Caenorhabditis elegans: one gene and its partner. The protein of the gene in region 2 interacts with the protein of the main gene of each other region in a biochemical or structural test. Each region holds a gene or a part of one and is shown on either strand. Other genes may lie near its edges.

The links.
Region 1: of the proteins of ikke-1 (region 2) and allo-1, one has a biochemical effect on the other in vitro, tested with the Caenorhabditis elegans proteins (one study listed by BioGRID).

The regions. Positions count from the first base shown.
Region 1 is NC_003282.8:10,694,767-10,698,853, forward strand, and holds allo-1 (Allophagy receptor allo-1), read right to left. Parts: upstream 2,307-4,087; 5' UTR 2,303-2,306; coding exon 2,242-2,302; intron 2,028-2,241; coding exon 1,710-2,027; intron 1,654-1,709; coding exon 971-1,653; intron 816-970; coding exon 669-815; 3' UTR 540-668; downstream 1-539. Other genes in the region: R102.11 (uncharacterized protein), read right to left, coding at 3,695-3,826, 3,878-4,059. UniProt on the Caenorhabditis elegans protein: Autophagy receptor, which is required for allophagy, an autophagic process in which paternal organelles, including mitochondria and membranous organelles, are degraded in early embryos.
Region 2 is NC_003281.10:9,045,523-9,052,210, forward strand, and holds ikke-1 (Inhibitor of nuclear factor kappa-B kinase epsilon subunit homolog 1), read right to left. Parts: upstream 5,172-6,688; 5' UTR 5,171-5,171; coding exon 4,771-5,170; intron 4,720-4,770; coding exon 4,517-4,719; intron 4,425-4,516; coding exon 3,582-4,424; intron 3,125-3,581; coding exon 2,321-3,124; intron 2,222-2,320; coding exon 2,154-2,221; intron 2,012-2,153; coding exon of another isoform or gene 1,864-2,011; exon of another isoform or gene 1,800-1,863; intron 1,064-1,799; coding exon 976-1,063; intron 890-975; coding exon 833-889; 3' UTR 533-832; downstream 1-532. Other genes in the region: R107.2 (ATP-dependent (S)-NAD(P)H-hydrate dehydratase), read right to left, coding at 360-410; R107.5 (uncharacterized protein), read right to left, coding at 6,235-6,601, 6,655-6,688. UniProt on the Caenorhabditis elegans protein: Serine/threonine-protein kinase, which plays a role in regulating allophagy, an autophagic process in which paternal organelles, including mitochondria and membranous organelles, are degraded in embryos.

The DNA of each region.
Region 1 (4,087 bases), on a different chromosome or scaffold from region 2:
TAAACTAAAAAATTGTGCGCGCCTTTAAAGAGTACTGTATTTATAAAACTTTTGTTGGTGCGAAAATTTCTCCGAATTGTTTCGTTCAAAATGCATTTATTTATTTGAAAAAAAAACTAAAACTAAACAATTAACAATACATACAATATAACAAGTCGCAATAACAACTCTGAAAAATCGATTAAAATTAAAAAATTCCACAGCATCGGAAGTTTGAAATTACAGTACACTTTAAAGGTGCACCCCCGTTTGCTTTTAACAAAAAAATGTCGTGTCGATACAGAGTACCGTATTTTTGGCGCAAAAATAGATCGATTATCTCTCAGTTAAATTTCATTATGAATTTTCTCGAATCGTTAGATCTTGAATATATGTACGTTTGTATCGTTATTGTTTTCACTCACCATTTCCTAATACTATAACCCGTCGTGTGAGCAAAGAGTACATCTTTTACAAAAACCTGCAATTATTAAATTATTTTTTTCATTTCAATTTACCAATAAACTACCGACTAAATTCGAGTAATTGCTGAGAAATGATTAGAATTTTTTCTACATCATAATTTTTATTGACACGGGTTTTGCAAGATAATATACAAAATAGAACAAATCATGAAAACAAGAATTTAAAAGTATTGAATGTACACAATGTGGCGTGATAAATGAGAATTATTGGTGGGAGATAAAATGAACAATTTGACGGCTTAGCTCGAGAAGTCTTCCAGCACTCCAAGTTGACGACATTTCTGCTTCAGACTGTTGATCACCTGCTCGTTCGAAGCGAGCATGCGGGTGCTCTCCTGTTGGTCCTGCAAGCTGGTATTTTTTGCAAAAAATTGTTAAATGAAATCTTATGTTTGTCGTTGAAAAACAACGTTGTTTTAGCACTAAATTAAAAATTTAAGATAGCAATGACCGCTTGAACGGTTTCTATGGTTAACTAATTTAAAAAAAAGTTATCAAAACCGCACCTCATGCAGAGCACTAACTATCTCATCCTTGTTGCTCGACTCTTCTACAGATTTCTTCAGTGCTTCTTTAGTTTCCTCCAATTCTTTTCTCAGAGTGATAAGCTCATGTTCCAGATTCAATGAATATGTGGTTCTTTCCGCCAACTGCGATGCAACAAAAGAGGCTGGTGGATCAAAGACAGAGCCTCCTCTTGCATGTTTCAACTGATCCTCCGCCAGCTTGCGACGCTCAGATTCTTCGAGCCGGCGAGCAACCTCTTCATCAACCAGATTTCTCAATTTCGAGTTCTCCTCCAAAAGTCTATCAATAGTAGTCTTCGAGTCACTGTACTGAGCGTTGCTGTTTTTCTCGGCTCCCTGCTTCCACAGCTCGGCCACCTGTTGGCTCTGAGCCAATTGCACTTTGAGCTGCTCGATAGCCGAGTCTTTCTCCTGGATAACTTTCTCTACGCTAGCAGCTGATTCTTGCATCTTCAATTCGAACTCGTTCTTCATAACTTCCATTTTCTCAGATAGTTTCTTGTTTTCTTCAATTTCATGGTTTGAATTTGATTTCAGAAGAGTGGATTCAGACATTTTTGCAGCTTGAAGTTGAGATTTCAGCTCGCTCACAAGAAGAAGTGATGTTCTCAAAGCGATTTCTGTTGATTCAACGTCCGCCACGTTCACAAGAGAGGAATTATCTGGAATTTACTTGGTCAAATAAATAATTTATGATAAGTTTTGGTTTAAAACTAACTGGAACATTCAGACTCGGACACAATAGACATATTCTGAAGAGTGAATTCAGGAGATTGACTCGAATTGACAAGAGACGCGAGAGGAGTTGACATTGGAGTACGATCTTCCTTCAAAGTTTCGGTAAGGAGCGGTGTTTCAACGATTGATGCTTCAGGTGTACGATCTGGATCTTCGTCTTTCAACGACTCCGGGGCCTTCGATCCGACAGGAGATGGAGCGCGCTGTGATTGAAGTGTATTCGGCATCTGGATTGAAATTGGCTCGATTCGGATACTCTGCTGAATACTCCATTGATCCTCACGATCTTCTGTTTCAGCTGGAATTTTTTTTTGAATTTTTAAAAATCCTCGATTGTGAAATAACAAATAAATCGATTTCAGAAAGTTGACCCATAATTTCAAAAAATGCGAAGAAATTTCGAAATCATGATGCAAACAATTTATTTCTAGACAAAAGTTATATTTTCTCATTGGGTTAGCTTGGGAGCTTGAATTTTTAGGTCCTTTTTTTAAAATAAAATAAAAACTTACGGTCAAAAGTCTCGATTATCTCGAATTCGTCATTCGAGAGGGAGTCAAGCGGATCGTTCATTCTCTGAAAAATATTACTTAGTGAGTGATAATAACAAAATCTCGAGTTGAAAAATGAGAAAAATATATGAGAAGAGTGAGGTCGTATGATCGAGAATGCAAACACTAAGCACTGGTTACTGCTAGCAATATATAAAGGAGAGTAAAATCATTGAGAGAGTTAGAGTGTGATTTCGAAACATTCTAGGTCGTCTGTCTTCTACGTCTCAGTGTAAAAACGACTCGAGGAATCATGTGTTTGCCAGAGAATGAATCAGCAGCTCTTGGAGACGCAGGCATAAAATGTTCGAATTGGAAAACAGCTGATGCGGGTCGCAGTGACCAGTGGGAAATGTCGTTTTTGAAGGTCGTTAGGAATTTTTTGATATTTTCCAGAGTCGACTTGTTAAGAAAAAACTATATTGCTAATAGATGGATAGGAATGCAATTAAAATTGTTGGGAAATCATGCGTTCAGAAGAAGCGAAGAAATTATAACATTTTCCAACAAATTTTCAGATTTGTGTCGGCGTTTCGTTAAAAATTCAATTTTCATTTCTACAATTGTAAATTCTGTCAATCAATTTGACTTGAAAAAACGAAAAAATGAAGCAAAAATAAGGAATAGGAAGAAATGCAGCCTGTAACACAAAAAATGGCGAAATGAGCGCTCTCGTCTGGTTGTTTTGAGGAAGACGAGACACTGGAGGAATTGAAGAGACGCAGGCAGGCAGACAAAATTCGTTTTTCGCGGTTTTTCAAATTTGACCGTTTTCGGTGCGTTTTTCTCCATTAATATCAATAATTGGTTAGGAATTTTTATTTTTTTTTTTTAAATATAGCTTTAAAAAAAAGATTTCTGAAATTCTAAATACCCTTTTCCAATCGATTCCGAAAAATGAAGAATTTATTGTAGCTGAGATTTTAAAGGGTACACTAAATATTGATGACTAATGTCGCAGTTTTCTGAAACTTCAATGCGGATTGAAATTCGTCACGAGAAAATATTTATTATGATTCCCGGTAAATTGGAAAAAAAAAACATAAACTTTGTCTTGAGGCGAGATCCAAATCTCGGTGCGTCTTTAGGTACGCATTTTTTAAACTTGTGAAACACTGTGCAAAATATTGAAATAGACCACCATTAACTACATATACAGCTGCATTCCTCTTTGAAAGCGCAAGCCCCAGTTCAACATTTTATTTGTCGTTTCAGGACCTCAGAATCCACAAGGCTCATATTTTACAGAACACTCGTTATAAGCATTTTATTTGAAAATTATTACAGAATCCACGTCGTACTAGATTCTAGGAACTTCATTCTGTAACTTTTGAATGTTTAACATTTTATTTTTGTACTATTTGTGTTATGACTGAAAGAAAAGATGTTATATAAGCAAAAACCATTGTACATATCAATGTATCGTCTGATTGTTGATCGCACGTCTTCTTCGACCACACCCACCACCGTAACCGCCACCGTATCCACCACCACACCCTCCGCATCCACCACTGCATCGAGGAACGTATTGAGGAACCATACAGGGCTGAAAAGATATAACAACAATGAAATTAGGCAAATTTTACAGTAAAATTACCTGATACATGGTTACCGGTGGCGGGCACGAGCAGGCAGGCGGAGGAGGTGGACACGGGATTGGCATCGGGCACGGTGGAGGTGGAGGTGGCATACATACTGGAGAAGGGGGAGGTGGTAGGCAGGAGCATCCCATGTTACATCCACCACAGGAACTTCCACATCCGCATCCGCCACCGCCTCCTGAATAGTATGAGATAAGTAAAGGAAA
Region 2 (6,688 bases):
TATAACTTTTTCAATTATTTTCACCGATTTTGCCAAATTTCAAGCAGTTTTTGTAATTTTTATTGTTTTTAAATTATTTTTTTTAGTTTTGAGAAGGTGAGTTTTATTTTATTTTAAGTGTTATTTTTTTGAGTTAGATAATATACATATTTTGATGATTACAGACTATTTGAACTTTTCTATCTACTCTACTTTTCAGTGTTGTTTTCCTAATTTTCGAAAAAGGAAAAAAAAAGTTCTATCCATAAACTTTTTTATTGAGCCACAAAAAAGTTGTTGTTTACTACAGGACTGCAACTTTTTTTTCTCTTTTTTACTATCCCTAATTAAATTCTTCTTTTTTTATTTCTTTAACTAACCTTTCTCAAATGCGGTGTCAATTTTGGCAACAATTTGATAAAATGATCCATAGAAATCTGAAATAAAAATTAATAAAACAATGTACTGGCACCAAAAATTATTTCGAAAAAAAGAAATCAAAAGATGGCAATTCCTCTCTAAAAAAACGAAAAAAGATAGACAAAAATGGCTTCAATTCAGTGAGAGGAAGGGTGCGATAATCCTCGTAATTCATTATATACACGTCTGTTATAGAGAACATATAAAACGAGATAACACAGACTAGATGGAAATATAAACAAGTGTTCGCAATCAACTTGGAGAGACTGAAAAGATGATACAACAATGTGGGTAAATGAGTGTGAGTGGAGGGGTGAGAAAAAGTAAGAAAAAAAATGATTGAAGGAATTCAAATTTCCGGGCGTCAATAGCACAGGGTTGGAAGGTTTGATTGAAAAACAGGAAAAAAACCGGGACGAGTATTTACAGGAAATTATTTCGCAGAAGAAGAAGGGGAAGACGTCGGCTTGGCAAAGTACTGAAAGACGGCCTGCAAAATGTAGGTAGAGCACAAGGAGAGGAGATGCATTAAAGTGAAGAAAGAAAAGAGAAAAGAAAAGAGAAATAAAAGCTTACTTGGAAATAGTTGTTAGACCCAACGTCAGGAGGGGACGATGGTGGTGTTGATTCGAATGAAGTTGAGCCTTCATCAATTGATGACTCTCTACAAAAACATAGATTTATACAAGATGTTTTTGAACTGGAGAAATTGAATTTTTAATATCTAAAAGTTAACGTGATTTTTTTTTCATTCACCAAAAATGGTGAATACTTTGAAAAATTATAAGTCTATTGAATTCCATTTTCATACCTTCAAAACTCAAAAAATTAGGGGTAACTCTCATTGAATGCGATCTAGCTACATCTTAAGAGCTAACAGAAAAGTAACTGATCAATTTTTGTTTTATTATATTCAAAATGACCCAGAAGACCGAATTTCGAAACGGACGTTTTCAAAAATTTGTCCAAAATTTTTTATGGCGGTTCAAAATTTACAGAAAAGGAAACCGAATTTTTAACTAACATTTCCAATTTTTCAAACATCGACATATCAAAGCGGCCGGAAACAGATTTTTATTTGATTATCACTTTATTTATTTTCTTTTTTTTGGCCATTTTTTCTGTACCTAAATTAACTAAATTACTATAGATAACTGACAAAAATGTCATAATGGGACAATAATTACATAAAATTAAACTACAGGCCGTTATGGCGCGTAAAAGTTGGCAAATTGGGGAAATTTTAGTTAAAAAATTAATTATTTTTGTCGACATTTTGTCGAAATCGAAATTTCGAAATTTTGAACCGCCAGAAGAAGGTTTTGAACTCATTTTTGAAATGTTTCGTTCTGAAATTCGCAAAACAATTTTGATCGGCCACTTCTCATTTAAACGTATACCTAAACATGTGAAAGGCTTGTAATATGGAGAGCAGTGTTAAAAAGTAAGAGGAAGTCTAGAAAATCAGTGTCTTCTGCCAGAAGATTTCCTTTTCTTTTCTCGTTTCTCTTGTCTTTCATTCTCGCAACAAATCCGACAAACGTCGTTGTCGCCTCCTTCGTTTCCGTTCTCTCTGCGTTTCTTTTTGAAGATTCTCTCCATTTTTTTAGTTCTAAAAAATCAGGGATCACTCTCTCTCTTGCTCTCTCATACTACATCTAAACTTTAATCTATGCAAGTAGGAGACTAGTATGACATAAAAATACAGAACTAATTTGGGAAAAGCAGTGTCTGATGAGAAAAAGGAGACATACAAAATGGAATCCTGCTCCGGTTTAGGGAATTGTTCTTTGTTCGGTGATGATTCCGCCTGGCAAAAAAACTAATAAAATTTAATTGAAAATTATGAAACGTTTAATCAAAAGCCGATTATATTAGAGCAACGAAAGGATTATTTTGATAACCCCAATAAAATACTCACACTTACAACCTGCGTCTCTTGAATCTCTTCTGATCTTGTAAGTGTCTGCTCCGATTCGGCTTTGATCAATATATCTCCTAAGCGAACAAATCCGAGTTGATCCAATTCTATGTTTAGTTGGTCGATGAGTTTCCTACACGATTTGGTGGTCTTCTTTATGCGAATTTGACTCTCGTGGAATTCGGGTCTTAACAAATGCATAGACTTTTGCATCGTATTCCGAGAACATCCTTGGGCTTGTAGATAACGATTTACAGTATCTTTCATTTCTTGGAATGGCTTCTCGAGTAGATCTACACATTCGGATATCATATCTTGAAGTTTTCGATAATTCGAACGTAGTTGGCTGAGCGATGCTGCCAAATTCATTGCCTTATTCAATTTACTTTTATTTATTCTGTCAGGCGAGTTGAAGATCTGCTCCATAATATTGTTTCTTCTTTTCAGGCACAACTCAACTAATTCTTGGGAATATTTCTGAGTGCTCAAGATGGCTTGTTTGTCATAGAAGACGTAGGATTCGATTTCTTCACAAATTCCTGGTAGATCCATGTCTTCAAGTCGAAGATCTTCAGCATCTTTTGACAATTGCTTTGCACATGCTTCAATATCCATAGAAACTTTTGCATGTCTCTCTAATTCCTCTCTAGCTCGTTTCGCTTGTTGAATGCATTGATCTGAGATCATTTTGGTCTCTGGATTCGCTTCATCGAACAACATCAGTGGTACTGAAGCCATGTCCACATAAACAGCAAAACGTGATGCAGTTTGAACACGCTCGAATTGACTCAACTCTTGCACAAGCTGAAAAAAACATGTTTTGGTTTTTTTTGGGACTGTTTGGAATTTCAAATGTGATTTACGAAATTATAATCTAAAATCGAAAGTTATAACATTTTCAGAACTACTGAGTTGTTACTCGGATAATTTTGAAATTTTAGCGCAAGGAATACGGTAACTGGTCTCCACGCGGCAATTTTTGTTAAATTCGAAAAGGTGAGTGCCTTTAAACAGTACTGTACTCTCAATCTTCTGCTACGAAATTTTTTAGATCGATTTTAATAGTTTCATTCAAGCGTATTAAATAAATGATTTTTTTTTGTAACGAAAAAACTGGGGAAAATTTATAAAAATTACAGTATTCTTTGAAGGTTCGCACCGTTTTGCATTTAACAAAAAATTGTCGTGTCGAGACCTGGTACCATTTTTTTTACCGCAAAAATTGCAAAATTTCGCGTCTAAATCATAATGCAAAACTCACCAGTGAAAATTGGGTTGACAAAATTGTGGAGACTCGATCAAAAAGAGCCAAATACTCGTCAATTTCAGTTAGCATGCTCAATCCTTCATAACATTTTTTGATTCGAATTTCAGAAAGTTTTCTGTCTGTCATATCATCGAATTCGTGGAATTCGATATTTCTCGCCAAAATCTTTCTCATATCAACGTGACTTGTCTGGGGAACGACCAAATACAAATCATCGGGAAGTCCGTCAACGGATTTTTGTTTGGAATCAAGGTAGTGGGTGGAGGTATTTGAGAGAAGAAGTATATCGGTTCCTTCTGGATATCCAAGACATTTTGAAATACTTGGAATACTGAATCCAAGATGTGGAACATTAGACATATCCGTGTGCTCAACAATCGACATTTGATCCACTGATGAAAATGTTCTTCGTTTAGAATTTCTCATAGCATCAGCCACTTTTGCATAATACTCGATTGAAGGTTCATGGAAAAAGCTGCGTAGAAGGCATGTCATTGTGCTTACGAGCCATTTCGGATATCTTGTGAATTTAGCAGGAAGTTCTGTAACTGGTTGGAATTCAAATATATCAGTTCTTCTTCCTGGATCTCGTCCTTTTTGCACTAAAACCATTGCGATTGCATCCGGATTCTGAGTAAGAGCCACTACAGCTTTATGATACAGGCTCTTGTTATTCCTTTCGTGCTCGAATGGGAACTTTCCAGTGGCACAAAAATATAGTGTACATCCCAGAGCCCATAGATCACATTGTTCCGAAGTATAAGCTGATTTTGTTTTCCAATTATGTCTGTTTTGAGCCATCAGTGGATCGACCATCTCGTGTGCCAGGAAGGGGTGCTGAAATTGAATGTGTTTTATCATCTTAGCTGACGTTTTTGATTATTTCAAAAATTCCTGGTCTAAAATTTTTACGCCTAGTAACAGCTTACCAGTAAATTAGGAGTTCCGACTAAAGTTCTCATTTCATGTGAACTATTTTCCGAAAGAGACTTGCTACAACCCATATCACAAAGTTTGAATAAATGTGTGGATCGTCTTCCACGTGTCGGAGTACCGGGAAATAGAAGGATATTCATGTGTTTTATGTCGCGATGAGCAATATTGTGCTCTCGAAGAGCAGATAGTGCCATAGCTGAAAAATATAAACGTGTATTACTGTAGAATAAATAAATTTCAAACTTACAACAATCTACAACTAAGTCAATAAGTGCATTTGATGAAAGTCCTCTGTGATTCTTTGGCCTTCTCATTTCCGCTTCCAAACTGCTACTTGCATATTCCATCGCAAAGGAAATCGTCTCAGATGTAACTGATCCAGGTGCCATTTTTGTGTGGTTACTACCAAAATATTGTACAATATTCGAAGCGCCTTTCAACTTTTTTAGAATTTCGATTTCTATGCCTATCGCAGCAACTTCCAACTTCTTGCAAGCCGTTTTCACAGCAACAAGTCTTCCAGATTCGGTTCGACCTCTGTAGACTTCTGAGTATGCTCCTTTTCCAATTGATTCATCATTGAAAAGCGTGTACTTTTCGCCGTGTGTAATGACGATTGGATAGGTTTTATGAGGAGATACCGCCATTCTGAAAATGATACAGATAATTAATGTTAAAAAATATTTTATGAAATATACGTCGGTTTCTAATACTGATGATATGTAAATATTACGCCAAAAATTCAAACGATACATTTTTGTTAAATTCGAAAAGGTGTGAGCCAATTTTCAAAGTTTTTCAATATAGAAAAATTATGTATAAATTTGATTAAATCGTTAAAAAAAACTGTATATTAAAAAATCGCTGAAAATTCCTCAGAAAAAAGAGTTTGAAACGACATTATTTAAAGGCACACACCTCTTCGAATTAAAAAAATTGTCGCGCCGAGACCGGGTACAGTATTTTTGAAAAAAAGAGAGTTCTTAAGATCAAATAATTCAAACTTTAAGCTAATTATTTAGTAAAACATATAAAAGTATGAAATTACAATTATCACAGTCTTGTCCTAGGACGATAAGTTTTCTTATGATAAGAAATGGCATGAGCAAGAAAGACGATCATTGATTTTTTTTTCGTAAACAACGATTTTCGTTTAGTGTTCCATTTATAAATTTTCTGAGGAACTTTTTCGACAAGTCCCCCGGAATTGTTCGAAAAATTTTAAACATATAAAAGTAACAGAGATAATTTTATATAAAGGCCACACCCTTATTAATAGAGTGAATCACATATTTCTGACTATACAAACCCTACTTTTGGAAGATGAAAAAGTTCGAATTGATATGGAGAATGGAAAAATAGAGAATTCTTTAAGCAAACTGCTGAGTACCGCATAGACGCAGACTGGAAAAGTTTTACTTTTCATAAGACCTAGCAATCAGTATTTCGAAATATCTGTTTACTACAAAGTGTGAGAGAGGTTCATAGAAATAAAGTGATTGACACTTGTGATGGAAACGCAGATTCGACCATCGAAGAGTAGTAATGTGAAGGTGTTTAAATTTATTTAGTTTATTCAAATATTGACCAGTAGAACATATTGAAAGACGTAAATAAGAAACAAACAAGAACAAATCAACGGTTAAATTAAATTCTATACATTACATTACATTGTTTTCGAATAATAACCCGTGAATAATATACAGTGAGATCATTCGAACTCCATCATTTCTTCATCAGTCACACTTCCGTTTGTCAAACTGTTCGGAGAATCAGGATCGAGTTCCACAATTTGAGAAGAACCAGTTGGCGAAGCCATTGGAGAGCTCCACGAAGATCCAATATCGCTGTGATCCGAGCCGGTGCCCAGTTCAACGATTCCCGTTGTTTCGTTGCGCGTGTCTTCATCGATCATGCCTTCATTCTCAATGATACGAGTCTTGATCTCTTCGTTAACTCGATCTTCCTCCTCGTCGTCAATCTCTTGTATTCGACCAGCCATATTGAAGTCGTTCTTTGGTGAAACCAGAATTCGCGGCTGCCAGATAACCATTTCATTTCCTTTCAACTTTTCTGGTCTGAAATAAAACATTTTAATTACAGAGAAATTAATTTTTGTAAAAGAACTTACTTTGGTAAGAAATCAATAGGACCCTGGCGGCACT